Linked DNA regions of Rhinolophus ferrumequinum. The protein of the gene in region 2 interacts with the protein of the main gene of each other region in a biochemical or structural test. Links are inferred from orthologs where the notes say so. Each region holds a gene or a part of one and is shown on either strand. Other genes may lie near its edges. The genes, in order: FIS1 and DNM1L.

Region 1 (15,882 bases), on a different chromosome or scaffold from region 2:
TCCCAGCAGTTGTAGACACCCAGGGAGTCAGTCGCGCAGCTGTGCCAGAGATTCTCGAAGATGGTGTTGGTGGTGATGACGTTCCCGTGTACAGTGGACACTCGCCAGTAGCTGTTTGGCAGGGTCACCCCCAGCATGAGCAGTCCCAGGGCTGCTATGAAGAAGCCAAAGGTCTCCACAGCCACTGACATGGTGGGACACAGGCCCTGAGGGCCACCTGGGGCCCCGCAGGGAGGGGATGAGCCCCAGGGGACCTCGAGGGGCTTTGGCTAAGGAGGGGTGTTAAGGCAGGGTGGGGAGGGAGGGGAAGGGCGGAAGACAGGTTGCAGCCTTGGCTTCTGGTCTGTCTCCCGGTTTCTGCCTCCTTCCCTCTCTCTGGGTCTCTGCTTTCCCGCAGGTCGGTCAAAGGAATGAACCAAGAGCCCACGGCAGATGTTGACGAGGAGATGGAGGGAATAAACGAAACGGGCCAAAAGTCCACTGCCTCCGGGCTGCCCTGGGCTCCCCGCCCCACAAGGGTGGGGGGGGGACTTACTAGGGAGTGACTAACGGATACAGCCAAGGAGGGGCCCCCATGGGAGGCACTGGGAGCCAAGGGGAAGCGTCTGTTTCTGACTCAGCTTTCATCGGAGGCCAGAGAATGAAATAAGAGGGACAAGAAAAGACAGACAGAGAATGACCACAGGCAGGCCACCACAGCCTTCAATGGGGAAGGAAGGAGGGAGCAGAGCCACCTGAGGTTGGTGAGAAAAGTTCAAGAAACTCAAAGGGGTTGGGGCACTGAGTCTCCCAGGAAGATTAAAAGTTGACGGGAATGGGAATGAGGTCTGTGGGGGGAAACCCATGGCTCTGGAATCCAACTTAGATTCAACCCAGACCCCATTATTTACCCAAGTGACACGGGCATGAAGTGTGAGTCCCGTGAGCTCATTTCTGCTTCTGTGAACTAGATCTACTACCACTCACCTCAGAGGTTGTAGTGAGAATTGTGACCACAGATCAAACCTCCCCACATGTATGAAGTGCTTGATACTTGGTGACTGTCCTGGGTCTCAGTGCCACCTGCCCAGTGTGAGGCCATCAAGTGTTACTTTCCTCCAAACTTCAACTTCCTGAACTTGAATTACCCTCCCTTTGGTGGGTTGATCTTTGACCATCAGCAACAAGCTTGATGTTGCTGCCAAGGGTCCCGGAGGGGGATAAATCACAGGTGCAGGCGATCCTGCGGCTAATCTAAGCAGCTATTATCAGAGCTGTCACTAGCTCTATTAATTATGACTGATTAGAAACCTCTGGGTCCCCACCCCAAGCCAAGGCTGAGCACCTGTCCCACAGCAGATGGTCTCATTTTCTGCCCCAAGGCCACAGTGGGACAGCCCTGGCTCTCTTCTGGCAAGTGTGGCTGGAGCTGTCTCCAAGGGGCTGATCCTACACCCAGGCAATACACAGGACGTCGCTGAGCTGAAGTGTAAGCCCCCATTCCCCAACTTCCCGTGTCAGGCTCCTATGTGCTCCCCTCAGGGGCCTCCTCCCCAATCCCCCAGCTGGGCAGGCTTGGCTGTGGAATGAGAGGTATGCAGTGAAGCAAGACAGGCCCACGCTGAGCCTGGCACGAAGCGGGTGTGGGGCAAAGCGGGCTGGGTGGGGACTGGGTCTCCACCTTCCATCTCGGAGCCTACAACTGGGGTGTGCTGGGTTCCTAACCTCTCCCAAGACCCCTGCCAACTCCATGCCAAATACCTCTTTCCTTCCCCCCACCAGCAGCAGCACCCCGTCCCCTAAGGAGACTAGGGTAGGAGGAAGGGGAGGACACAGGAGGACAAAGCGAGGGGAAGGGCGGAGGTTTTGGAGGAAACTGAGTGGGGGGCCCCCCTGGTGTGGAAAACTCCACGTGCTGAAAAGCAGCTGAGTGGGTCAGAGGAGACAGGAGACATAAATCCAGGCCTGTCCCCTTAGCTCTGCCCTTCCCACCTCCGGTCTCTGCTTTCCCCCAGGATCCAGGCTGCGCCACGTGGCTTTGGGGAAGGAAGGAAGGGTGTGGGGTCTAGGCAGCACGGCAGACAAAGGAGAACCCCACAACAGTGTGGGGGGTAGGAGTGGGAGAACACAGAGCAAGAAAGGACCAGTTGTTACCTCCACTTCTGGGCTCAAGGGGACCCGCCCCTTCCTCAACAGAGACACAGAGGTTGGCAAGCCAAAGCCCAATTTTATTTACATTCATCCCAAAGCACATGATTTGGGGCTAAAGGACAGGTCTCAGGGGAGAGGAAGTTGAAGCCATAAAGGACAGTGATGGGGTTCAGGAGAAGGGAGAGTGACGATGGATGGGCCACTCTCCAAGTGTCCGCCATGGGCTCCCATGTATCCCTGGGCAGAGGCACAGGTGCAGTATTGTTCAGGAGGATTTGAATTTGGATACAGCAAGTCCGATGAGTCCAGCCACTCCTGCCACACCCAGGGCCATGCCTCCAACAATGGCCATGCCCACCAGTCCATCTGGAGAGAGAGATAAAGGGAGACAGTCAGGAGTCCAGCCCGAGCCATCCGGGACCACGGCTACCATGTCCTTCCTGCCCGCTGCTCCTCAACAGATGTGCTTCTCCACCTGGAGTCACAGGGTAACGGACTCCAGGGTTGGATACAGGCGGCTTCTGGGGGTTTGAGGAAGAACTGGTGGGAGGGGAGTCATTTAAAGAGAGACCAGAGAGCCCAGGTGTGGGGGTGGGGAGAAGAGTAAACTGGGGCTGTTGGGGCCAGGGAGACAGGAGGGTGGGGAGCAGAGGAAGACAGAGAGGAAGGCAGTCACCTTTCTTCATGGCCTTGTCAATGAGCCGTTCCAGTTCCTTGGCCTGGTTGTTCTGGGGCTCTGTCTGCAGCAGCCCTCGCACATACTTTAGGGCCTTTTCATATTCCTACACTCAGAGAAAACACACACACACCCTCAGTATTCCAGCACTCCTTCTGCCGTTCAGAGGGGCCTTCCTTTTGCTTGCCCTGGGGGCTCCTCCCTCTACCTCCACCCCCTCCCTCACTCCAGCCCCACCCAATGGAGTAGAGTCCACAAAACAGCCCCAAGTGTGTGTGGGGGGGTGATAAGCTAGGGGAGATAACAGCCCAGGCCTGGGGCTGCACCCCAATCCTGACGTCACCTTTCCCACACCCTCGGCACTCTGATCCTGTCTTTCACCTTCCCTCAGCATCCTGACCTGCTATCACCTTGCACCTCTGTACCTGACACCACCCCCTGCCTACTGCCTTTTTCAGGCTTTACCCTGGAGAGAAAGGAGAGGGTGCTGTGGACCACCCAAGTAGGGTGGAGTGGGAACAAGGGAGTTGTCTACCTTACCTTGAGCCGGTAGTTCCCCACAGCCAGGTAGAAGACATAGTCCCGCTGCTCCTCTTTGCTCCCTTTGGTTAGCAGCTCTACGGAGGGGAGGGGACAGGGTGAAAACCACTTCTCTCTCTTCCTAGTGCTTGTGTCCCAGAAACACCTTCCACTCTTTGAATCCCTATATGATCCTAGGAGAAAGTTCCGAGCCTCCCTTCCAACTCCAGTCACACCTGGCTTCCCAGTCAGAGCTCTGGGGCAGCGTGGACTCAGGCTGCCCAAACACCCTGGTGCTCAACACACAATACTGTAGTCAGCTCTGGTTCATCCAAGTGCACTGAAAGGAACTCAAGGCACTGGAGAAGCCAAAAGGCATCTCTCCTTAGTTTTGACATCTGTTGTGCTTCAATTACAGTTGCTTGTTGCCCAAATAAGTTAAAAATTTTAAGTTTGTATTCCCTCTCCCTTTAAAAAATCAGCTCAAAACTCACCTTCAATTAGTCTTCCCTGAATGACCCCACCCGACTCTTTCTTAACTCAGTGACTTACTTCCCAGAGGCTTGTGTGTTCAGTTGTACTCTATGCACTAGACTTTGTTGCTAAGTTTTTGTTGCTTTGCCGGTGTTTATAAATCTTCCCAATTGTTTGTCTCAACTAGACTGGCAGCCCTAGAGACTACTTCTATAGCAGGACACAGCTTTACAGGAAATCTGAAAAATCTGAATTGGCAAATTAGACAAATGTAGGGTGAGATTATTTGCATTAAGATTCTTATTTTTATTGATTTATAATAGGCATCCTTTGCTAGTACACTGACTGTTTGCTTACACATGAGAAAGAGGGTACAGAGAAACTGAAAGGTCAAATATTGTGGTTTCTGACAAATGGTGACCCATCCCAAAACAATGGGAAACAGGATTCCAACCAAAAACGCACCCTCTGTTCGCAGGCTTTTGGGACTACCTTCTGCACGTCTTCCATGCCATCCTCACAAAAAGTTTTCAGCAGCTGCTGAATAAGCTCCAGGGTGGGGGGGCAAGGACCCAGGACTGGGACACACAAGACAGGAGCCTCTAGTCCCAATTCAGCCATTAATTAATTAGCTGTGTGACCTCAGACAAGCCACTTTATAGTGAGACTACCAGATCACCAAAGTCCTGTAGAAACCGACATGCTGATTCTATTTGGCAAAACAACGATGAGGTGGTGATTAGCCAGAAGCGCCCTGGGAGAGGCCAGGCGAATGCACACCCCTTTGTTGCAGTGAGCTCATTAGAAGATATGAGCTTGGCGCAAAGGTAATTGCGGGTTGTGCAATTATTTTTAAACTTTTAGTTAAACCGCAATTACTTTTCCACCAACCTAGTAACTGTGAGGTGACTGTACTATAGGATCCCATGTTGAAAAAGGATCCCAGCACTTGAGATGGGGGGAGGGAACGACCAATGGCAGTAAAGAAGGACAGACCCTGCTGGCAGTTAGGAAGGGAAGAGTCGGGGAGCCTAGCACCTCACCCTCCAGCAGTGCAATGCCTTTACGGATGTCATCGTTGTACTTGCTCCGCACCAAGCACCAGGCATACTCAAACTGCGTGCTCTTGGACACCGAGCCTGCTGCCTTCTCAGACTGAAATTTCTTTTCAAACTTCTGCCATAGGAGAGGAGAGGAGTCATTTAGAAATGAAGGGGGCGAACCATTCTCTGATGGACCTGGGTGCCCATTTCCCAGTTTCGATCCATATTCCCCAGTCTCTGCTACATTTCCCTCACGGGTCTTGATTCCTGGCACCACAGATTCTGCTGTCACCATCCCTGGGACCCAGGCTTTCGGCTTCCTGTCGGCAGGCTGTCCTTGGACAGGACCGCCTCCGCTCCTCTACCCCTAGTGGTACCGAGAGGAGATGCCACCTGGTGGCGGCTCCAGGAACCGCTCCCAGAGCAGCTGACTCCGAGTGGGTGAACAGTAAACACATTGTTCAACAGTCAGAACTGCTCAACAGCCCACGAAGTCCCTCGTTGGAGACTGCTTCCCTCATCCCATCCCATCCTGCTAGGTCTGGACCTTTTCTTATCTGCAAAACAGGAATAAGAATAGTGCCTACCTTCTAGAGCTCAAAATGAGATCGCCTGCAATGCACTTAGCACCGTGCAGGGTACAGTAATATATGAAACTATTGATGGTCGCTAGTTCCCTGCCATTGAAGGAGCACGCAAAAACAGATCCGCACCCTGACATCCTAATTACTGCACGCACCCAGAACCCATTAGTTTTTCCACGCCAGACTCCAGGCCCTGAGTCTGAGGTGTGGTGGCGCACAGAAAACTACAACTCCCATTAGGCTCAAGGGCCAAGTGGAGCCTCTCGGCAGGAGCCGGACGCTGCAAAGGCTGCCGGGAGCCGTAGTTCGGCTTCCCTGGGCAAAGCTGATGATGGGAATAGGGTTTGGCCCCTATCCGACTCTCCTCGGACCCGCCCGCCCGAATCTTTCCTTTCCTTTCCTCGGGGCCAGGCCTCACCAGCAGGTCGTCCACAGACACCAGCTCGTTTAGCACGGCCTCCATGGCCGCCGCCCCCGCAATGCTCAGAACTCAGACGTTACCGTGCCACTGTCTCCATGGCCCACTGGCCGGGGCAGAGAAACACTTCCGGCGTCCAGCGGAAGTGGGCCTCCTCCCCTATGCAGAGCCAATCACCTCACGTAGCCAACGCCGAGCCCGGCCCCTGGGAGGCGCCCGCCACTTCCTCCCCGCGCACTCAGCGCGCGGGTGAGGGCAGTGAAGTGCACGCTGGGATCGGTACTCTTCTCAAGCCCGTTGCGCGTGGGCCGCGCACAGTGCTGCTTATAGCCCCACGTTCTTTTTTCCGGATGCCCTGCGTGTTTCTTCATCTACGGAGGCTGCCTCAAGAAAGGCTGCGACTGTATCTCGGTGGTCATCCGGCCCTCCCCCCCCCACTGAAAAGAGCAGAAAGAGGAAGGGGAAGAACCCGGCCTAGATCACACTTTTAGGGCTCAGTTTAATCCTGTCCACCCCCGCCCTCCGTACGCCCGAACACCAGCTCTAGGACGCCCCCAGAAACCTGGGACCCTGGAAGCTCAGTGACTTTTCAGTGCCTGCAAGAAAATCATTAAATGCCAGGGTTTCCAGGGCCTCTGTTACTCGCGCAATGCAAGAGGATCGATAACTGGATCTGTTAACCATACACCCAGAGACTGCAGTAAATAGTAACGGGATAGTATTAAAGGGAATTTAAAGAAAAGCTGTAGCCATTGCTTGCAAAGAGGGTTCAATCTTTTAAATATTTAGATAAAGCATCCTCTGGGTGTACCTAAAGCGGATGGCCTGCCATACGGGTTCAAGGTCAATGAAGAGCTTGGCAGTGAGGAGCAACAAAACATGGAAAGGGGAAATGCTGCGGGTTCCTCTGGCATCTGTTCTCTGCAGTTGGTGGGACTGGGTAGGTAGTGCTCAAACTCCTTTTACCTAGTTACAGAGAAAACCACAGGTCCAAAATAGCATCACTCAGTGCTTAAAAGCTCATGATACCAAACCCAGATTTAATACCTGATCTAATTGAAGTTTCAGTCTGTCCCGGAAATGTAATCTTAATCAGTTGGAATTTTCTGGTCAAGCACCAATAAAGTAAAGCTGTCAAGAAGACCCTCTCCACACTCTGCTCCTCCCTCTATAGAAAGAAGAGGCAATCTGCATGATAAAAACCCTTGCTCCCCACTAAAAGATGTCCTGGTCTAAAAGTAATTTCTTTTGTTCATACCACCCTTCTAGTTGCTAGATGGGATTCGGCCCAATGAGTTGCTTAATGAAATCAATTAGATCATCAGATTTACTCTGTTGAATTGTTTAACAACCTTGACCCACAGTGCTCCCCAATACACATTAGGATGTAAGTTCCATGAAGGCAGAGACTGTATCTTGTTTATCCTTGCATCTCCAGCTCCTAGCACAAGGTCAATGTTTAATAAATATTTGTAAATATGAAATAAAGCCAACAATAGTCATGTGCTGCTTAATGATGGGGATACGTTCTGAGAAATTGTTAGGTGATTTCAAACCATTACAAATGCAGATTTCCATTTTACAAAGGGTGATTTCTTGGATTTCAGAATCCAATGTATGTTTCTTAAAATACCCGGCCTAAAATAATTCTTATGCCAAGTAGACATATTTTGGGGTGATAAATTCTGCTGTACAGGCTACAAACCTGCATAGCATTTACTGCACTGAATACTGCAGGCAACTGTAACACAGTGATACTTGTGTAATGTGCTGTGCTACGACGCTGTGACGTCACTAGGCCACAGGCATTTTCAGCTCCATTATAATCTTAGGGGACCTCCTCCGTATATGTTCATCGTTGCAGTGCATGACTACAAAGGGCATTGTAAATGCAGGGATTATCATCCAAACACCTTTCACGTTTGCAAAGCCCCTTGAGTTTCTTTTGTTTTCCAATTCTCATGATAGCCTTGTGAGTTAGGTAGGCAAGTTATTCTCTATTTGGCTTGGGCACTTGAAATGATTTTGACATGAGCTCAGTAAACTTTGATAGAAACTTTAGTTTGGAGAACTGGCTCCCTTAAGACCACTAGCATAATAGTCAAGGAGAAAAATTCACATTCATTGAAAGATGCATCGAGCACCTAATTTTGGCTGGGCCTTAGTGTAAGAAGAGGGAATAAACAGATACGTAATATGAAGCAGAGCAGGACCGAAGACAGAGGGCAAGTACTGGCAAGGCAGGGGATACAGGGAGGCCAAAAGGGCATTAATTTTTTAGGGTGTTACTTCTGTGGGGTGGCCTGCTGCACCTTAGTCATCTTTGTATCTGCCACGGCTCTTGGCACAGGCCTGGCGCATGGCAAAATCTCCATCAGAGTTCCTTGAATGTATGTATGTGGAGAGAAAGAATGCCTTACTCAGTTGGCTCAATTCTGTGCCAATGAAGAGATCCTGAGTCTGAGTTTGTGTCTGGTTGGGTCCAGTTAGCATAGTCATCCACCTGGTGTCACGGGGATAGGAAACAGTGCCTGTTAATTTTACATCCAAATTATGTGTCTCCATCTTCTTCAGCAAGCATCCAAATGCAAACCACTGTCATCTCTGCCTGCATGACTTCCACAGCCACCTCACTGGTCCCACACATCCATTCTTGCCCCATTACCATGAATTGACCACCCAGTAGTGAGATCGTATAAAAACACAGTTCTCAATTTACCAGGAACCCTTTAATGGCTGATCTCACTGCCTAGAACAAAGGCCAGAATCCTGTAACAGAGCCTACAACATCCTCTATTATCTGGTCCATGCTTAATTCTGCCTCATCTTGAAGAAGGGCCCAGTTGGAACCCCCATAGTCGAGGCCTTGAAATGTCCCGGCCTCACCTTTCCTTGACCGTAGCTTAACAACAGATCATCTCCCTGTGGCTTGAACTTGGAATGTCCCGTCCCAGTTCCCTGCTTTAGAAAATTACCCCAATCTTATGATTAATACCTTAGGCTTATTGATCACAATCTCTATGGTCCAACATTCTTTCCAGGCTACTCCCATCATTGTTTCTGGGTTGCTGACGCCACTGGAGAACCACGTTGCCAGAGGGAAGCATTCATGCAGACCCTCTCATGCAGTCTCTGGAAAAATGCTCAGATTTTCCCTTAAATACCCCAAGCTGGTCTGAGAATGGTAAGGCAGTTTTCGAAGACTGCTGCCTTCTCAGATCTCAGGTGCTCTGACAATAAACGCTTATCCTAGTGCCCAACTCCTGTGTCGGTCTAGTGGCTGAGCGGGGCAGGCAGCAAGAGCCCTGGACTCGGTTGCCCTCTGGTTTCAATCTCTCCATTACTACTGTTAAAAAATACAAAATTCAACTGAGTAAATTTGAAGATCTAGTTGATTATTAAGCAATTCATGGATGGGGCAGCATCCCATCTAGCAACCAGATTGGATCTAGCAACCAGCCTCTCTAAGGCGCTGTACAAAATGGAAGGTTTTTATAGGGAGAAGGGTGGGGCAAGGGAGCTATTAACCAAAGAAAAGACTATTTTTAGACCAGGACATCTTCTTTTGGGAGGTGGGGGAAGGGAATGGCAAGGGTTTTTATTGTGCAGATTGCTGCTGCTTTCTATGGAGGGTAGAGAGGGTCCAAGTGACAGATTACCTTATTAGTGCATGATCAGAAAATTCCCGACTGGTTGATTAAGATAACATTTCTGAGAGAGGATGAAAATGCAGTTAGGTCAGGTATTAAATCTAGGTTTGGTATCATCAGCCTTAGCACAAGTGACCATTCTGGGCCTGTGGTTTTCTCTGTAACACTACCCCTCCCTGTCTGTACACCAGCCCCACAGGCCCTCTGCACAGGCAGTATCCTCTATCTGGAACATCTATCCCCTCCCCCCTTTTATTTGGCTCATTCATTCATTCATGATTTCATTTATTCAACAAATACTTATTGAGTACCTACTATGTGCCTGACACTGGCACTAAATAAAATTAAGTTCCTGTTCTCACGAAGCTTGCATTTTAGTAGGGGAAAACAGAAAAAAATAATAGAATGAGTAAATAACTAAAAACGCAATAATGTCAGGAGTTGAAAGTGCTATGAAAACAAATCAAGCGGGGTAAAGGAATTATGAGAGAAGAGGATACTATGGGAGGAGTGCCCAAAGAAGCCATGGAGAGGTGATACCTGGGCAGAGCACTGACGTTAGTGGATGAGCCATGCAGGTAAATGGGGAAGAACATTCCAGGCAGACAAAGCAGCAAGTGAAACACACAGAGGAGTGAATGTACAAAGGTGGTTTGAGGCCCAACCAGGAAGCCAATGTGACTGGAGTGGAGTGGGCAAAGGAGTGACAGAAAATGAAGGCAGAGAGATGGCAGGTCATTTACGGCCTTACAGACTATGGTGAGGAATCTGGATTTCATTTCACATGTGATGGAAAAGCATAGGGGTGTTTTGAGCAATAGAGTAACGATTTGAGCAATGATCCATTGTGAAAGGATCCCTCTGGCTGCTGTTGGAGAAAAGGCGGTAAGGACAAGAATAAATACAGGAGGACAGTTAGGAGGTTACTGCGGTGGCCCAGGCAAGAGACAGGTGACCTGGTCTACAGCAGTCGTGGTGGGGGTGAAGGGATTTAGGATACGTGGTCAGATTCAGGATATTAGGTACAGTGAGCAAGATTTGCTGATGGATTGGGTATGTGAGAGAAGAGTGTAAGATGACAAATAGGTTTTGCCCTGACTGACCTGAGTTCTTAGCTCTAAGACTCTTCCTTAGGGAAGACCATCTCTTCATCCAGACTAGGTGAAGTCTCCTGTAGAGAAGGAGAGTATTACCTGTCCTACATTTTCAGAATATAAAACTGTAACCTATACATTCCTGTCTTTGTTAGCACTGTGTTTTTGTGAGCCACACAAGTATTGGTTGGGTACTGGGTACAGTACTGAAATCTTCCAGGAGCCAGAGACTCTATTCTGCTCGTTTAGTTTTTCCTACGTAAAGGAAGAAATACGTGGCCAAAAATCACACCAGGAAGGTGCCATTATTAGCTCTATTTGACCCATGAGGAAACTGAGGATCAAAAGGTTAAGTAATCTGCCCAAGGTCACAGAGCTAGAAGTGGAGGAGCTGGGATTCAAACCTACGTCCTGCTTCAGTTAAGAGGCAGACCTGTGCGCTGAGAGAGGAAGAGTCAGCTAAAGGATAAATAGGAGAAGTGAAGAGAATAAGTTCATACGTACGCTCTAGTTACTCATGTTTTAAAAATTTAGGCATAAATTTGTAAATTTTTTGTTGGTTTACAATAGTGGGACTTTCCTTAAGCCGCAGGTGAACTAGGAAGAAGCAATTCAGGTTAATTCAAAACCAAATCAGGCAAAGCAATCCTGAGAAACCTTTGTTTAGCTTATACAGTAGTAAAATTATAAACAAAATCTCCCAAACCACCATCAGTGCTGCTGAAATTGTTGTAAAACTGGTTTCTGTCTCTTGGCTAGCAGCGGCTGTTTTTAGTTCACACTATTCATCTATTTGTAATTAAACACTTGTGTGATGATCTGGTTAATGCCACCCTCCTATACTAGACTGGAAGCTACATAAGGGCAAGGTCTGTGTCTATTTTGCTCATATTATACCACTAGAGCCAGCTCAGTGCCTTACACATAGATAACCTATTTGTGATTGTTGCATAAATGGATGTTGCTGTTACCATGATTAACTTTTTGGAAAGCAATGAGACAATATATAGTAAGACCTACAAGATATAATATCATTTAATTAGAATCTCCTGTGGGAAAAGTCAACAAACAACAAAAAAGGAAGGCATGAAGATATTCATTTCCTACATTATCTGTGAAGGTAAACAACTAGTCATATGGATTCTATGCATGTGGATGGTAATATTCAAAACAGAAAAAAGGCACGTGCTTCTCAAATTTGGTCACGTTAGTGGACAGAAGGGAAACTGACATTTTTTTGTTGGGGGGGAACTAAAACCTAACTGGTACTTGTTAGCACATTCTGGGCTCTGGGCCCCTCCCTTGACCAGAAGCTGGAGCCTGTTCTGGATTTCTACCCTCCAGCATCTTGTCAGTAGTCAGCCCAGAAGTGCTCAGGAAATACCCACTGAACAGAATTTCACTATTTGTGTTCTTCCAATCTTCAGTGATCAGTCTCCTCTACTTCCCACTTTCATCTACTATCCAATCAGTTAGGAAGTCCAATCAAGGGCAAATTGATTCATTCATTTATCCAACAAACATTTGTTCAGGGCCTACTGTGTGCCAGGGCTTTCTAAGTGCTGGGTAAGAGAAATGAACTAAACAGACATAGTCCTTCTCTCATGGAAGTTACATCTTAATGCTAACGAATCTTAATGCTAACGAATAAATATATGTAATCAGGCCACTCCGCTCCATTCTGTCGCCATACTCCAACAGCCTTCAGATTTTTTCCTCCTCCAACCCAGCCTGGTTGCTAGTTGTATTTTAAAATGCAAATCAGAGCTCATATGTCCTGATTAAAAATACCGTCTAAGGACATCATCTAAATTTCCTATTATGCACACGAAACCCTTCAGGACCACCCTGCTTACCTCTCCAGCTTCATTTCTAGGCACCCACGCGCCCTGCACACGGAGACGTTTTCATGACAGCCACCTTTCTTCCACCCGGAATGCTCTCCAACGGGAGATTTCCATTCACCAAACACCTACGTGCCTACATGGCAGGCAACTGCCAGGCTCAGGACCGTTACCCCTCCGGGACAGCTTTCTTATATCCGACCCCATGCCTCCATCTTCTAGGAGGCACAGCATTTATCACCCAATCCCACAGTCCTTTATGTGGACAGAGACTGTGCCTCGTTCATCTCTTAGCCAAAGGGCAGGCATCCAAGATCGTATGTGGTGAATGAAAGAGTAACGACAAGCGTTCCAAAACGGACGCTTAGAACCTTAGAGACTTCTGCACTTCCGGGTGGAGGTTTGGTTGGCACTCAAGCAAGGGAGAAGGTGACTCCTCGGGGGCTGCTCTAGGAGGAAGGCTCGGTGGTCCGGAGGACCCGCGGAGACGCGAGGGGGAGACCGCGGCGTCGGCACCTGCGCAGTAGTCGCCCTCCGCGGGAGGCGGGGCGGGGGCGGGGCCTCAGCTGGCCAATTAACGGGTGCGGCTCCGCGGGAGGAGCGGGGCGGGGCGCTACTGGGAGGCGGAGGGGGCGGTGCCGATGCCAGCGAGTCCCGAATCTTCGCCCCGGTCTCCACCTCTTGCTGTTACGCATCGTACCTCTGTGTCCCAGGGGTGATCGAAGTCCTTCCTGGTAACCCTTTCCCCAGAGACGTTCTCTGTAAATTAAAATTTACCTGTGGCCTCCTTAGAGTCTGTCTAGGTCCAAAAGTGTGTGTGATGAGTACACACATGTGCACGAACCACTTGGGATCGTTGTTAAAAATGCAGTCTGATTCAGTAGGTCTAGGGTGATCCTCAGATGCTGCATTTCTAACAAGCTCCCAGGGGATGCCAATGCTGAATGTTCTCTGACACACTGTGAGGAACAAAGGTGTGAAACAGTGGTTCTCAAAGTGCATCCCGGGACCAGCAGCTTGGGCATCACCCATGATAGAAATGAAATTTTGGAGGCCTCACTCCACATCAGCTGAATCACAAAGTCTGGGAGTGGGGCCTCGCAATCCATGTTTTTACAGACTGTAGGTGATTCTGATGCATGCTAGAGTTTGAGAATCCATGGACAGCAGAAAAGTCAAATTGAACCTCATCCCTCCACAGACTTGTGGCTGTGGTCAATTTGCCTTATCTGGTTAAGCTTCAGATTCTTCAGCTGAAAAATCAGGATAAAAATACTAATGCCTCCCTAGTGAATCTATTATGAGGAGAGAATGTGAGATATGCTTGTAAAGCACTAGGCATTCTATAAAAGTTAGCTATCATTAGCTATCATTATCATTACCGTTCCATTGGATTGCTCTTTGGCAATCCAGTCTTATTGCATATTTATTGCAACATTATTTACAATAGCTAAGACATGGAAACAACTTAAGTGTCCACTGATGGATGATTGGATAAAGAAGATGTGAGACACACACACACGCACACAATCACTGGAATATTATTCAGCCATAAAAAGAAGGAATTCCTGTCATTTGTGACAACATGAATGGACCTTGAGGACACTATGCTAAGTGAAATAAGTCTGACAGAGAAAGATAAAAAGTGTATGATCTCACTTACATGTGGAATCTAAAAAAGCTGAACTCATAGAAACAGAGAGCACAATGGTAGTTGCCAGGGTCTGAGGAATAGGGGAAGTGGGGGATGTGGTCAAAGATCCAGGTTCCGGTTATAAAATGAATAAATTCTGGGAACATACTGTACGGCTGGGTGACTGTAGTTAGCAATGCTGTATTATGTACTTGAAAATTGCTAAGAGAGTAAATCTGAAATGATCTCACCACACCGAAAAAAAAAAAGAAAGTAATTATGTGAGGTCATGGATAGATCAAGTAAACTTATTGTGCTAATTATTTCACAATATACACATGTATCAAGTCATCATGTACACATTAAAACACACAATGTTATATGTCAATTATATTTCGGTAAAGTTAGAAAGAATGTTATGAGACTTTAAGTGATTGATTATAAGTAAATGTATTTCTATCTCAATAAACCTTTAGCTAAAATGGCTTTAAGTGAATTATTTTAAACAGTTTGATTTTAAGCAAATTGGCCTAGAATTACTTTGAAGGTGTTGCGTTTCATATTTAGTTACTTAAAGAGTTGTTAGATTAAGAGAGATTGACTCATTGACCATTTAATTATGTAAATTGATCAAAAGTCACAACCACCAGTGCTTCTGGAGTCTAGTGGTAGTAAGATTGTAACTCCATAGGGTTTGGGGTTAATGAGGATTAACCCCAATGTGGGAAGCTTGTGGGGTTCTGGAGAGCACATGCACAGCTTCTGCATTCCAATTCAGATTTTAGGATAACACTGTGGCAGCCCAGCAAAACAAGTCTCAGGCCAGATTGGCCTGCTGGATTCCAGTAATTGACCTTTGCCTTTTGTGAATTAGCTTTATTCATGCTAATTATAACTAGTTTAGTGTAAGGTGACGCCTACTCTGTCTTTGTGGATTTATCCTTTAAGACAGCAGTTTAATTAAAAGTTGAAGCAGTTCTTTATTCTATTTTTGCCCCATGCCAAGCTGTACCATTAGCTAAATATTTGAATATCACTCTTGGACACTGCTACTAATTCAGTAATTCAGAAAATGTGTCTGACCATGAGGTGAATGCACACATATTACATCTAATTCCTGAATTCTCCTCCTCCCAAATCAACATTTCTCTTACCCTGAAGGATTTGGGAATATTCTTGAATTCCAACTGGAAAAAATTCCCAGTTACGGGCAGCGGGAAAGGGCCAGGGAGTGTGTGGGAAGGGAATTTTCCAGCTGCTGTACATCTGCTTCCAGATTGAGATGAGTAGCAGGGTAGCCACCTATCCCAGCAGGCCCACCACAATGCCCAGGGTAGCCATGGCACCTTTGGGGACCTCTGTAAGCAGTTGTTTATTTTAAGTAGTAAACCTGTTTGGTGGTGGCTGGATTAGACAGTGACAGAAGCAACCTTGGTATAGAGGCCAAGCATGTTCTTTCCTAACTCTCTGAAATACAAGGAAAATTACTTTTTAAAACATCTGAATATATGATTTGTGCAATTCATCATTTGAAAAACAATTTCTGCAGCAGGCCCCTATTTTGGAATCTGCCCAGTTATTCATTATATCTTTTCTTAGAGAGATGCCACATCTGGATAGCCCACAGTTTTTGGAAAAAGATGAGCCTATCAGATTCTCTTTAGACTTGGCGGTAGTCAGCCGTCTCCCTGTGACTGACCTGAGGGTATGTAAGTTCAGCAACTGTGGGGAATCATCATTTTCCTCTGGGCACAAGAAGCAGACAGAGCCTGTCCACATAGGTGGGGAGAAGAATGCAGTGGATAAACAGAAGCGTT
Region 2 (15,067 bases):
AGAGGAGAGATCAAAAGATATATAGGAACAAATGAGAATGAAAATACATCCTACCAAAATTTTTGGAATGCAGCGAAAGCAGTTCTAAGAGGAACATTTATATCATTACAGGCCTATCTCAAGAAACAAGAAAAATCCCAAATAAATAACCTCACGTTACACCTTAGAGAACTAGAAAAAGAAGAACAAATGAAACCCAAGGTCAGCAGAAGAAAGGAAATAATAAAACTCAGAGCAGAACTAAATGAAATAGAGAACAAAAAGACAATAGAAAAAATTAATGTGACAAAGAGCTGGTTCTTTGAAAAGATTAACAAAATTGACAAATCCTTGGCTAGACTCACTAAGAGAAAAAGAGAGAAAACACTAATAAAATCAGAAATGAAAAAGGGAAAGTTATAACGGATGCCACAGAAATACAAAGGATCATCCAAGAATACTATAAAGGACTATATGCCACCAAATTCAATAACCTAGAAGAAATGGACAAGTTCTTAGAAACACATAGCCTTCCTCGGCTAAACCATGAAGAATTGGAAAATCGAAACAGACTGATCACCAGTAACGAAATTGAATCAGTCATCCAAAACCTTCCCAAAAGCAAAAGTCCAGGACCAGATGGCTTCACTAGTGAATTCTACCAAACCTTTAAGGAGGATCTAATACCTCTCAAAATCTTCCAAAAAACTGAAGAAGAGAGAATACTCCCTAACTCATTTTATGAGGTCAACATTACCCTGATTCCAAAACCTGGTAAGGATAACATACACAAAAAAAATTACAGATCAATACCTTCGATGAATCAGTGCAAAAATCCTAAACAAAATTCTAGTAAATCGAATGCAACAAAGCATTACAAAGATTATTCATCACGACAAAGTGGGGTTCATCCCAGGGGCACAAGGATGGTTCAACATACACAAATCCATCAATGTGATACATCACATAAACAAAATAAAGGACAAAAAATCATATGACTGTATCAACTGATGCAGAAAAGCGTCAAGATGCAACATCCATTTATGATTAAAACACTTAATAGGTATAGACAGAAAATACCTTAACATAATAAACGCCATATATAACAAACCCTCAGCTAATATATAATTAACGGTGAAAGATTGAAGCCCTTTGCTCTACGTTCAGGAACATGACAGGGCTGTCCCCTATCACCTTTGCTTTTCAACATAGTGTTGGAAGTCCTTGCCAGAGCAATCAGGCAAGAGAAATAAAAGGCATCCAAATTGGGAATGTAGAAGTTACACTGTCACTCTTTGCAGATGACATGATGCTATATATAGGAAACCCTAAGGACTCCACCAAAAAGCTATTAGAAACAATAAACGAATACAGTAAAGTTGCTGGCTACAAAATCCACGTACAAAAGTCCATTGCATTCCTATATACTAACATGAAATCTCAGAAAAAGAAATAAAAAAACAATTCCTTTTGCAATCGCAACAAAAAAAATACAATACCTAGGAATAAATTTAACCAAGGGTATGAAAGACCTATATGCTGAAAACTATAAGACATTTTTAAAAGAAATTGAAGAAGACACAAAGAAATGGAAAGACATTCCGTTGCTCATGGACTGGAAGAATCAACACAGTTAAAATGGCCATATTACCTAAAGCAATATACAGATAATGCAATCCCCATCAAAATCTTAATGGCATTTTTTAAAGAAATAGAACAAAAAAATTATCAGATTTGTATGGAACCACAAAAGACCCCAAACAGCCAAAGCAATCCTAAGAAAAAAGAACAATGCTGGAGGTATCACACTCCTTGACTTTAGCTTGTACTACAGGGCAACAATAATCAAAACTGCATGGCACTGGCAGAAAAACAGACACACAGACCAATGGAATAGAACTGAGAACCCAGAAATAAACCCACAGAAATATGGACAGATAATTTTTGACAAAGAAGCAAAAACACACAATGGAGAAAAGACAGCCTCTTCAATAAAATGGTGCTGGCAGAATTGGAAAGCCACGTGCAAAAGAATGAAACTGGACTGCTGTCTGCCACCATGTATCAAAATGAATTCAAAATGGATCAAAGACCAAAGCATAAGACCTGAAACAATAAACTGCATAGAAGAAAACATAGGTACTAAACTTATGGACCTTGGGTTCAAAGAGCATTTTATGAATTTGACTCCAAAGGCAAGGGAAGTAAAATCTGAAATAAACGAATAGGACTATATCAAACTTAAAAGCTTCTGCATAGCAAAAGAAACCATCAACAAAATAAAGAGGCAAGCAACTGAATGGGAGAAGATTTTTGCAAACAACACCTCCGGTAAGGGGCTAATATCCAAAATATACAAGGAACTCATACAATTCAACAACAGAAAAAACCTGAAGAGATATTTCTCCAAAGAGGACATACAAATGGCCAATCGACATATGAAGAAATGCTCAGTATCACTAATCATCAGAGAAATGCAAATAAAAATCACAGTGAGATATCACCTCATACAAGTTAGAATGGATGTTATCAACAAGACAAAAAATAACAAGTGTTGGAGAGGCTGTGGAGAAAAAGGAACCCTCATACACTGTTGGTGGGAATACAGATTGGTGCAGCTGCTATGGAAGGCAGTGTGGAGGTTCCTCAAAAAATTAAGAATAGAATTACCATATGACCCAGCAATCCCTCTCCTGGGTATTTACCCAAAAAATCTGAAAACATTTATCCATAAAGACATGTGTGCTCCAATGTTCACTGCAGCTTTATTTACGGTGGCCAAGATATGGAAACCAAAATGTCCTCTGATAGATGAATGGATAAAGAAGTTGTGGTATATATACACAATGGAATACTATTCTGCGGTAAGAAAAGATGATCTAAGAACATTTGTGACAACATGGATGGCTCTTGAGATTATAATGCTAAGCAAAATACGTCAGAAAAAGTAGAGAACCATATGATTTCACTGATATGTGGTATATAAAACTGAAAACAACAAAAGAACAAGACAAACAAATGAAGAAACAAAAAACTCATAGACATAGACAATAGTTTAGTGGTTACCAGAGGGTAAAGGGGGACGGGAGTTCTAGAAGAGGGTAAAGGGGGTCAAATATATGGTGATGGAAAGAGAATTGCCTCTGGGTGGTGAACACATTGTGAGATACAGATGATGTATTACAGAACTGTACACCTGAACTCTATGTAACTTTACTAACAATTGTCATCCCAATAAACGAATTTAAAAAAAAAAAGTATTACAGTAAAAGACATATTGTCATTAATCCCTCTCAAAATACCCCTTGCTTCGAACCCACTTATCCCATCATTCTTTCCACTTTCTGAAGCAGTTCTGGAAGTCCTCTTTCATGTATTTAGTTGAGCTGTTGTGGCTGCTTCAATGACCTAAACCAATTCAAAACGTTTACCTTTCATGGTTATTTCAACTTAGAGTAAGAGCCAGAAGGCTCACAATGACAGATCCAGTGAATAAGGTGGATGAGGACACAACGTAATGTTTTTATTTGACAGAAATTGCCATATACCAGAAGTGATGTGTGACACGGAGCCTTTCTGTTGTGATCAACAAATATGGTGACTGCTGCTGCTGAGTGCCACCAGATAGAAAGGCAGGGATCTTTAATTCGGGTGCACTGAACATTAGTAAGTGTGTGACAAGCTTCAATTTGTTTGGTGCAGTCAGTCAGGTGAGCTATGGTTGAGAGAAGGTATGTTTTAAAGTGTGCCATAAATCATCCTCCATCTTGACAACACTCCATGTCACACATCACTTCTGGCATAGCAATTTCTGTCAAATAAAAACATTACGGTGTGCCCTCATCCACTTTATTCACTGGATGTGGAACCGTAAGACTTGTGGCTTCTTCCTGAAGTCAAAATGATTCAGGACATGGAGGCAGCCCTGACAGCGCAACTAAAGACACTCACAAAAGGCGATTTCCAGAACTGTTTCAAAAAGTAGCAAAAACGATGGGATAAGTGTGTTCGAAGTGAGGGGTAGTATTTTGAGGAGGATTAATGGTAATGTGTCTTTTACTGTAATAAATTTTTTTTATTTAAACATTCACCATCTTTTTTGATCACACCTCTTATATGGAAAGTTTCCAGTCTACTGCTACAAAACACCTTGAAAATACCACCAAAGAAGATTTGATTTATATCATCTCCTCTGATTCCATTTACAAAACAGGTTTTGATGATAAAAATCTCTGTGTTTTAAAGTATTATCTTGTTTCAGTGAACAATATTTACTCAAAATATTTATGGAGCACCTGCTACATACCGCAGTCTGTTCCATGGGCAAGGAATGGGACCACAGAAGTGAACAAAATAGTCTCAATAAAAACATTACTTATAATTTGTTATATGTTGATGATTGAGAGTTGCCAATCATTACAAATATTAAGAGTTACAAATACTACAATATGTGTAGGCAGGGCTGAACAGAATCTATACAGATCTTATAGCAGACCAAGGAAATTTGTTTCTGAAGTAATTTCCAGTGCTTTAACTATTTAAAAGCACACACAGTACAGGATGTCTATGGTTTCCACGGTTTCCAGTGTTTGGAAATACATGTAGCATTTTTAACATTAAGTTCCCTGTCATAATACTTATACTCTACACTTTAATTTTGTAGCAAGATGTAGCGATGCACCTCATGGAAAACGATCGGGAAGCGTCCCCTTCTCAATAGAAATGACCATCAAGAAATGAAAAGGACTTAAAATCTTTATACTAAGTAGTCATTAATCCCTAGCATCTCTGAAGTCTGATCAAAGTCCTATGATTCCTCTTCAACCAAGAAAAGCAGCAAGCAGAGAAAATGGAACTTATACTTCTGTCACTCTAGAAATAACATTATTTCTTCAACATTTCTACATACAAGAAATTATGATGTCTTAAGACACCCAACATGGAAAGACAAGAGAACCTTGACGTTCAGTTTAGATGGAAGACAAAAACTACAGCCTATGCCAAAAACTGGGATGTTCCTTCCAAATACCCAGATCCAAGTGGTTTGAGGGTATTTTGGTTTTTAACTGCTTTGGCGTTCCCCAAACCTTGGCGATTACACTGCAGAAAAACACTCAGGTGCTACACAGTAGCGGCCTTTTCAGCCCCCACCGCACGGTTCCAAAACTGACTCCGCAGCCCCAGAGCAAGGCAAGGAAGGAAATAAAACACCCAGCCGCCCTGAAACCAAACAAGTAGGGGCTAGCCGGCCCACCACGAGCCAGTGCGCCCCGCGTGCCCGGCGCGACCCCCAGGTGCCCTTGGAAGCAGCGGCCTGCGGGGAAAACCGCGCCCGGTCCCCGCGGACTCCAGTTCCGCCCGACGGGCTGTCCTTCCCCCACCCCGCCCCTGGGACCCGCCAGGCCCACCGCGCCGGCTCCGCCCCTCGCCTCCCGGCCAGGCCCCGATTCCCAGCCCTGATGCAACGCAACCTGGGGCAGCAGACGCGGCAGAGCCCGGGGAACCCCGGGGCCCCAAGCAGCGTCCTCCTGCCACAGGCCGCAAAGCCTGGCCCGGGAGCGTGCGCTCCCGCAGTCCCGACCAGGCCCGCGCCCCGGGCTCTGGCCTTGGCAGACATCGCCCTCGTCTCTCACCTGCGTTCCCACCACGACGATCTGAGGCAACTGGATGATATCAGCGCCCACAGTGTTGAAGACGTCCTGGAGCTTGTTGATAACAGGAATTAGCGCCTCCATAACTCCGAAAACACAGGACCCCCGCCCGGCCGGCCGCGGCAATGAATGGGGCCGCGGCCCAGAGTCCGCCTCCTTCCTCCTCTCCTCCGCCCTTTCCTCCGGAGCCGGCACCCATTGGACCCTGCCCTGCCGCTACCTGCCCCCTCCCGGCAGGCTGTGCGCTGAGAGGGCGGTGGCGAGAAACAAAGCCTGCCGGGAGTTGTAGTTCTGGAGCAGAGGAAAGCCAGGGCCTACGGCATCCAGAAGGCTTCGCGGTGCGGGCGGACCCCGAGCCGGGAGTGGCGAGTGCTTGGGAATTGGGTAGCTCCCTGGCTCTTGTCAGATGACTAGGGAGCGAGGCTCGGATTGTAGGAAGAAACTCGGACGTTTTTGACAGTCCTTGAGGCGTATTGGGTGGGAAAATCCCGAACGTGTGTTAAGTACAACGGAGTCTCTTGATTATCTAAGGTGTCATTTCCTTATGAGGACGCTTTCTCAATAAGGGCGGGTTGGAAAGGCTTAAACAGCCCATGTCCTCAGACACCCCAGCCAGGTGCAAAAAGTTTGTAGGCTGACAGTGGAAGGCATGGGGTACTATTTTGCAATAATACAAAACCAGCCGAGGTTAGACGATGCGGGTTCTCCGGGATTTGTGTAAAAACGTGTTCAAAAAGAATCTTAAAAAGTGTCAGAGTTTTAGAGGGGAAGGGCTGGGCCCTTGTTTTCTATAGTCTGTATAAAATGTTACTTGCTGTGGCCTGATTCCGGCAAAGTGGAGATCTGATAACTGCCTTTCTAGCATTTTGCTAAGTGTGCCTACTGTTCTGTTCCTAAATGTTGTTTTTCTTTTTAGACAGATAGTATCTCTCTTCTACGCCAAACCTCCAAGGTTTTCTATCTCAAAGTTTTTTTTTAAAAAAGTGACATTTGAGCAAAGATCTAAAGTAAGTGAGGAGAAAACCCCCTTCCCTGCTTTATTTTTTCTCCATAGCATTTATGCCCATCTAACATGCTACACATTGAACTTGTTTATTCTCTGCTTTTGCTAGATTATCAGCTCCTAGATGCCAGGGACTTTTAACTGTTTAATTCATTGATGAATCCTTAGTCCTTAGAAAGTGACAAACAAGAAAGTCTCAATCTCAGTCCCCTCTGAGTTTACAATCTAACTGAGGACCATTATAAATAACTGGGTAAAGTCCTATGGTTGCATGTATTATGGACCACATAATAGGAGTTTTTCTAGCCTGAGGGGAGGAGTGAAAGTTCAAGCAAGACTTCCTAGAACTCACTAGATCTAATCTCCATGAGGGCAAAGACCACCAGCAGCAGTGCAAGTTGTGCACTACACAACTTCAGTGGGTACACCATTCACCAGCACAGCCTCACACAGTAGCCCTGGGGAACAAGCTTGATTTGTTTAGCAGGACACATGGTATGTACTCAATAAATATTTTTGAACAAACGAATGAACTGTCATCTAAGACCTGAAGGTCCACTAATGGTGTTTTGGCATCATACCAAGTTTTATGAACATTCCCTGCTCTTTGATTCTTTTTAAAAACAAAAATTTCAGAGACAAAGTGGGGGAAAATTTCAAAACTCCAAAAAACAGAGCAGACAAAAGAGAGGGGATAGGTTCATGGTGAACTTCCATGGGTATAACCAGTAACTGTTTCATAGGGGCACCGTGACCTGGGGCAAAAATGATGCAGCTACAACCTACAACCTACAAATAGGCCTTCCCTTATTTGTGGCCCCAACAGACATAGTCTTTTCCTATTTGCTAATGGCAAAATTAAAAGAGCAACCATACATGTATTCCAGAAAGACAAATGTCATGAATTTTACATGGCATTATCTATTTCCATTTATATTATAAAATATTTGTGATAGCACATCCAGATCTTTGTATGAACATGCTCAGGAACAACAGTGACTGCTTTTTAATTCTTTTTCTAGGAGAAGGAAGAATGATCTCAGGCCAGTTCTCACAAGTTCTTCTATCACTACCACCACAGTTAGATTTAAGCAGGTTTGTCCAGTACTTGTCCAGACACTAGAGCATTGAGTTCATTGGGCACAGAAGAGAAGTGTCTGAGGCTAGAGAAACAGGAAGTGGTGAGGCCTTGAAAAAGAGTGGCTCTAACTTGATAACATTAAAAATAAATAAATAAATAAATAAGGCAGGGTACTCAACGTGCAATGTGTTTCACTGGAGACAAACAAAGCAAACCAATTTGGGTTTTCACATTTAAGTTCAGAACACTCTTGCTTGTGGGACAGCCACTTAGCCAAGTATGACTTCCCTCATCTAAAGTAGGATAATGTGTTTCTCAGTGGGTTGCTATGACATCAAATTAAGCCATTATTCAGGTACTCTCTCCAAAGGCTTTTTAAAAAACTCCTTCTGCCATCCCTCTCTCACTATAAGTTTATGATTTAGGCAGGACAGTTAGATTACAAGTCTCAGAAATTAAAGTCTAGTTGGCTCAAAAAGAGGAATTAACTTGTACAACCAAAGGGCTAACATGACGTTGGCCTCAAAACTAACTGGAACCACGGGCTCACGCAGCATCAGAATTCTCTCTACCTCTTATCTCTGCTTCTCTCTGCATATCTACTTCATTCTCTCCAGTCAATTTATTCCTGTGGATGAAGTGAGCAGACAGTGGTGGAGACTGTAGGGATCTCACCAAGCCAGATGCCTCAGGGCCAATGAGGTGGAGCGAATATGAGGAGGAACTGAAACTAGGTTTCCACCCTGGTCCACTGGTGTATGTGTTTCCTATTGCTGCCTCAACAAATGACCACAAACTGAGTGGCTTAAAACAACAAAAATGTATCATCTTACAGCCCTGTAGGTCAGAAGTCCAACACTTGGTCTCACTGGGCTAAAACCAAGGTATCATCAAGGCTGTAGCTCCTTTCTGGAGCGTCTATGGAAGAGTCCATCTCCTTGCCTTTTCTAGATTTGAGACTGCTCACACTCCTAGCTCTTGACTCCCTTCCAACATCTTCAAAGCTAGTAATGTTACATCTTTTTGACCCTTCATGTGCCATCACATCTTTCTCTGATTGCAGCCAGGGAAGGTTCTATGCTTTTAAGAACCCATGATTAGAGTAGCTCACCTGGATAAACCAGGACAATTTCCCCATCACTTTCTGTGCCTTTCATTATATCTGCAAAGTCCCTTTGCCATGTAAAGTTCACAGGTACCAGGAATTAGGCTTTGGACTTATTGGAGGGGCCATTATGCTGCCTACCACACCAGGTTAAAGTGATTGGTCCGGGGATGGACTTGACCCAAGCAAGGCCATTTAGAGACCCTCCCAGAGTATTCTTTAACTTGAATTAACCAGAGAATTTTCTTTCTCGTTATAAGGATGTGACCTATACGGATGTGAGTCACTGTCACCAGAGAGCATGTTTCCTACCACATATAATAAATTGGTTTTGGAAAATAAAGTAGACTCCTTATTCACCGTAAAAAAATTTTCCAAATCCAACAATTGTCCCATACTTCTAAATGTACAAATATAAGACATAATCTAGGAATTCTAATCCCCATAGTTAATCACTCCCTCTTTTCCTTGTTGCCCTTTTCACACATTATTAAACTATTATTTTTGTGAGAACTTATTGTGTGCCAGCCACTGTGCTCAGCATTTTATAGTTTTTCCTGTGGGATAGGTTTACAGATATGGAAACCAAGGGTCCAGCGGTTTAAGTAAAGTGACACATTTACATAGCTGGTATGTGGCAAAGCTGGGATCAAAACAGGCTATTAATCTCTTAATCTCTATACATATTGCCGCATTTCTTCATTCATTCCCTCATTTATTCAACACATATGTATCAAGTACCCGTTAGGCATATGGATCTTAGGCACTGTATTTGCTAAAGAGAGGAGGGACTATGAACATGATAGTAACATGTCCTTCCCCCTTAGCCAACAGAGAGCTAGTCACTGAGAGGAGAATTAGTGTCAGGTTTAGCCAGTTATCTCCACTATCCAGTATAGTGCTTGTTGCATAGTACTACTCTAGTAAACTTGGGGTTCCCTTTTCTTTTACATGAAAAGTCTGGAATAGCAAGGATTCCAGCCCCTCTAAATTGGTACAATTGCAACTAGGATTTGCAATCAAACCCAGCCAAAACATATAAGATTGGCCTGGCATAGGACTCCTCATCAGAATAGCTGTCAAGTTACTTTTCTTGCTAGGGGGTAGACTGGCTTTGTTCTTAAAACTTCTAAAGAGAGAAAGTTTATCTTAAATTAAATTTATAACAGGAAAAGATTTAATACTTCTTGCAAAAGATCACTGAGACTATTTTTATAGCATAAGTATTCAAATCATTTTATGCCAACATACTGATCATTAATCATAGTCAAGTTGCCATTATCCATGGCTTCAAATCATAGGGGAAAGTTGTCATGCGGGGTGTCATGCGGGGACTCTGGTCCTGCTCCCCGCATAAGAACGCAGGATATGGCTAGGCCAAAAAGGAACACCCACGGAGCCATAGATAGGGGAGTCATACCACTATATTCTCGCTGGCAGCTGGGTTGGAGACACAGGGGGCAGGAGCCACACGATTCGCAACCTGCCGTCCGCTTCTCCGCCGATCCCACTTGGTAACTGCAGTCCGCGCTTGCTAGCTTAGCCACGGCAGTTATATCAGTGGCTAATGGCTAACCGTAACAGCTGATGGCCAACTAGCCACAGCTGATGGCCATCTACTACCCGAGCCAGCACCTTTCCATATGAGGTTGAGAGCCTGGAAACTGCTCTCCTGGCTCTGTCCCCACAAAAGTACAGATCTAATATTATTATAAAATATACAACTCTGATGGGGAAGCCTCTTTGTCATATTTTGGAAACTGCCCTATTTTGCCAAAATGATAAAGTAAACAGCTTTGATCAATTTGCACTACTCCATAGGCGTCAAGCTTCACACAGACATTGTCAGCAAGTGCAGGAAATGGTCTGCAGATGGTGGCGTCTGTCAGATGGTTCAGAAGCCAGCAATTGAACCTGGCGAGATACTGACAGCCCATTAGAGGGCAGTGTGACAACACAATTAAGAGTAGTAGAGTCCTCTCATCTTCCTAGACTGTTTTCTTCCCTTGGCTCCACACCCATACACCAATGGAATTTAACCCTTCTTTTAATCCTCCCACCCTCAAAACAAGTGGCGTATTTTACTAACTGTTTGAGATAATAGAGTGATTTTACATCACAGTAATGCCAACAACTGAAAGTTCCATGTTAGACATCCTTGTCCTTAAACTACTCTATTTACCCTGTCTCTGGGAATTTCTCATTAGCCTCTTTTCTTTACAACTGCACTCGAGGATCCCAAAATGTTGTGTGGCGTTCTCAGAAACTCTTCAAATTTCCTTTCTCCTCTGTTTCTTAGGCTTCCTGTTTCTCTTCCCTACACCAACTCTATTAACCTACACTTTCCGCTGGAGAGACACTTATGTTTTCAGCCCTTGGATTGCTACCTTTGTGTATCAAAGGCTCACCTGTGTGACATCCACCCTGTATTTCTTCCTTCAGCAGCCAGATCTAGTAGAGACTTTGAGTATCTTTGCTTTCTAGTTCCCCAACCAGTTCATCTAAACAGTAGTGGGCAGTGTAAGTCAATTTGAGTTTTAAGAACCAATTGTGTAGAAATTCCATGTAATCGTGATGGATAAGACTTACACATTAGTGACACAATTAGTAAAATCAGTGAATAAGGCAGTGTATCATAAAGCACTAAGCACAGCGTATGTAATATGTGTAAAAGTTTATCCAACAGTGACTTTTTGTTTCTTACTGATGGCTTTTACTTATTCAAATTCCTCTTCAGTTACTGAATGTTTGACTAAATGGAGGAATGGATGGATGGGTGAATGAATGAACAAGGTTTTGCATATTAAATATACTTTATCCGGGCTAGTCAGGTTCTAAAATAATATGTTGTTATTTTAGAACCAGTACAGTATAAGGGAAAAAGTTCTGAATTAGTTATCCTCTTTGCGAAGCCATGATCTTTACTCACAACCCCTGCTCTATGAAATAGGACTACTAATATAACTACTAAGGATGAGACCTACAACCAAATAGAAGTAAATTCTTAAAAAGCATTTGCAGAACTAGTAAGTAATGAAAATATAGAAAATGATGTAGCCCAAATCCAGACAGCAGTCTTATAGGTGTGCCACTATTCACACCAGTAGCAAAAACAAAAGCAAACAAAATAAAAATGAAAACAGTAACAGGCATTAAATACTATATTAAGTACTAAAGATACAAAGGCAAATAAAACATTCATTGGCATTCCTCCAAAAAAAATCTCCTTTCTTCTCATTCCTTCCTCTCAAGAAGAAAACGAACAAGTAACCAGAATTAATATACCAGAAGTCAGCACATAGGAAAGGGACCTAGACTGGGCTTCCTGGGTTAAAGGATGAATAGGAGTTGACCAGAGAAAGAGGAAGAGAAAGAACCAGGCAGAGAGAGCAGCTTGTGCAAAAGTGAAGAGGAAGGAAAGAACATGATACACTGGATACTTTAAATAGTTTAGTGCGGCTCCGTGCAGAGCAGGAGGATCTGTGAGGGAATGGTGAGTGGCAAGGCTATTATCTGGTCGGTCAGAGGTGAACTCATGATAGTGACGAGTTAGAGATGTAACCTCTAGGTAATGGAGAAGGAAATGGAGAAAAATCAGAAGCAGCAGCAAAGAGACACATGATCATATGAATATTATAAAGATCACCCCCATCCCACGGGACTGAGATGAGGTAAGAGAGAATGGGAAACCAGATAGGGCATGGTGCAGTAATTCAAGTCAGAAATGATGGTAATGTATACTAAGGTAGTAATATCGGAGATGGAAACACCCGGATGAATTTAGAATAGATGTACTTGTCTAGACGCCGGGGTGGGGAATAGCCAAGGGCAGAACGGGCAATAGGAATATTTAAGAGATGGAAGAAAGATGTTAAAGAAACCATAAAATAGTGACCAAAAGAAACCATAAAATAGTGACCAAAAAGGAAAAATAAAAGAGAATGGCTTGTTCAAAATGTATTTCAACATCCTTGTGGGCTTTTCTTTGCTTCAGAGGCTAGCAAGGTTGGTTTCTGGTTAAGATATTTCTTTCTAGCTTGCAGCTGGCTGCCTTCTCCTTCTATAGCCTTTCCTCTGTGCACCTGTGGAGAGAGAGCGCCCTCTAGTATCCTTTCCTCTTCTTATAAGGACTCAGTCCTATCGGATTAGGGCTCCACCCTTAGGACCATTTAACCTTAATTACCCCTTTACACGCCCTATCTCCAAATACAGTTATATTGGAGATTAGGGTTTCAAAATACATCTTTAGGGGGACACAGTTTGGTCCAAAGCAATATCATTAAATAAACAATATAAAATATGAAAATCTCACTTCTAATCATACTTTCTAGATGGGAACCACTCTTAGTAACTTCTTTCTGTTTATACTTTTCACTGTTCTGGCATAACATATAAATTAGATCACACTACACACTATAGCTCTATTTTTTCACTCATAGTGAAGAAATCTTTTATATATAGATTTTCTTCACTCGTTGCTATAGTGTAGATATGTTCCGTATCAATACATAAAAATCCCAAAATATTTTTTCCAACAGACACATAGTATTTTCTTGTAAGGGTTATAATTTATTTAACAGTTTTCTTATAATTTATTTAGCAGTTTTTTTCTTGGTAGATAATAGATCACTTTGAATTTACTATAGACGACGTTGCAAAAAATACCCTTATACATGTATATATTCATACTTTTATCAGTATCTCAGTAGGATAGATTCCTAGAAGTGGAATTGCTAAGTCAAAGGGTATGCATCTTTAAAATCTAAATAAATATTGCTGTGACAGTTTATACTTCTAGTAGAAGCATGTGGGAGTACCTATTTCCTATTCCCACCGTAGGGTAGTATCAATATTTTTAGTATTGTTAATGTAATAGGCTAAAAAAGCAATCATTTTTTAAAATTTGCTTTCCATTATTAGTGAATTTTTTGCATGTGTTAGTCCTTTATATTTCTTTTTCTGTGAATTACTTATTCATAATATTTGCCCATTTTCCCCATTGCATTGGTATTTTAAAATATTCATTTGTATGAGTTTTCTATATTTATTATGGAAAATAAGCTCTTCAATATGTTGAAAATATTTTCTCTCAATATGTATTTTTGTCTTTTAATTTCATTAATGGTATTCTTAAGTGTATGGAAGTGAAATTACAGGGTCAAATCTGGCCCTTTTACAGGTAGGTGGTATCAGATAAGTGTGTTGGGGGTTAGGAATCAGATTCTAGGCATGGGAGCTGGCTCAGGGCAGAAATGGCCCCTTTAAGTGCCTTCTCAGTGTCTAAATGCTCCACTTGAATGCCTGACCTGGCAATCAGCCCAGCCTATTTGCCTGAGTAAAAACTTTGACTCTTGAAGAGGAGATTTTTATATGTTTGTTAGCACTAATGCTGAGCCCACCAGCTACTTATTTGCACTCACAGGATCCACTGACACCCAGGGGGCTTTGGCTGAGAGATTGGAACCTTGGCTGCACAGCAATGGAGGAAAGGTTCTCCATACTGCATTATATTAAGGAAGCACTTGAAAAACATTTCGAAAAATAGAAGTGACAACATATATTTATAAATACAGTTAAATTATACTTGCATATGATACCAAATATAGGTTTTTTAAAAGGCATGCAGAATCAGGAACAATGAATAACAAAAATATAAATAAGAATCTTATCATACTAGAGCCTAAAGGAACATTAGCAATTTTCATCATTTTTAAATTTTAGTCCAACCGTAGTATTTTACAAATAAGGAAACAAGGGCTCAGAGAGGTAAAATGATGTGTCCATGTTCACGGTTCCAGTTACTAGAAGAGAAAGGATTAGAAATTCAGTTCTCTTGACCTTCCATTTGACAAAACCTCCTTGATTTAGGAGTTCCTTGTATCTCCAAGTTTAAAAAAAAAAAAAAAAACACATACATTTTAAAAAGTGGCCTTTAGAAGAATTAAGATTTGATAAGTTACTAATCAGGCTTTTACAGTTATTTTATGTCCCTGCCTGAGACCCAGCTGCACTCTTTGATAGAAGGCGAACCCAAGCCTCTAAAGCCAACTCAAATCCCCAAGAAGTAGCATCCTAGAGTTTTGCGCACAGACTGGGACTTCACCTAGACAATCAGCTCCCAGTATCAGTGACTCAGGACTCTGTTCAGTGTATTTGGTAACGCTATATTTAAGGGATCAACTAAAAATATTGTTTCTTGTGAAAATACCATAATGGACTGTGAGGTGCCATCTTACGGTATAAAAGAG

The links.
Region 1: the proteins of DNM1L (region 2) and FIS1 form a complex in vitro, tested with the Homo sapiens proteins (2 studies listed by BioGRID). The link is inferred for Rhinolophus ferrumequinum from reciprocal best matches to the Homo sapiens genes DNM1L and FIS1.

What each region holds. Positions count from the first base shown.
Region 1 is NC_046290.1:91,303,611-91,319,492, forward strand, and holds FIS1 (mitochondrial fission 1 protein), read right to left. Parts: upstream 6,003-15,882; 5' UTR 5,890-6,002; coding exon 5,845-5,889; intron 4,976-5,844; coding exon 4,843-4,975; intron 3,424-4,842; coding exon 3,347-3,423; intron 2,913-3,346; coding exon 2,807-2,912; intron 2,497-2,806; coding exon 2,396-2,496; 3' UTR 2,187-2,395; downstream 1-2,186. Other genes in the region: CLDN15 (claudin-15), read right to left, coding at 1-191. UniProt on the Homo sapiens protein: Involved in the fragmentation of the mitochondrial network and its perinuclear clustering. Plays a minor role in the recruitment and association of the fission mediator dynamin-related protein 1 (DNM1L) to the mitochondrial surface and mitochondrial fission.
Region 2 is NC_046293.1:41,499,940-41,515,006, reverse strand, and holds the start of DNM1L (dynamin-1-like protein), read right to left. Parts: upstream 5,878-15,067; 5' UTR 5,715-5,877; coding exon 5,613-5,714; intron 1-5,612. UniProt on the Homo sapiens protein: Functions in mitochondrial and peroxisomal division.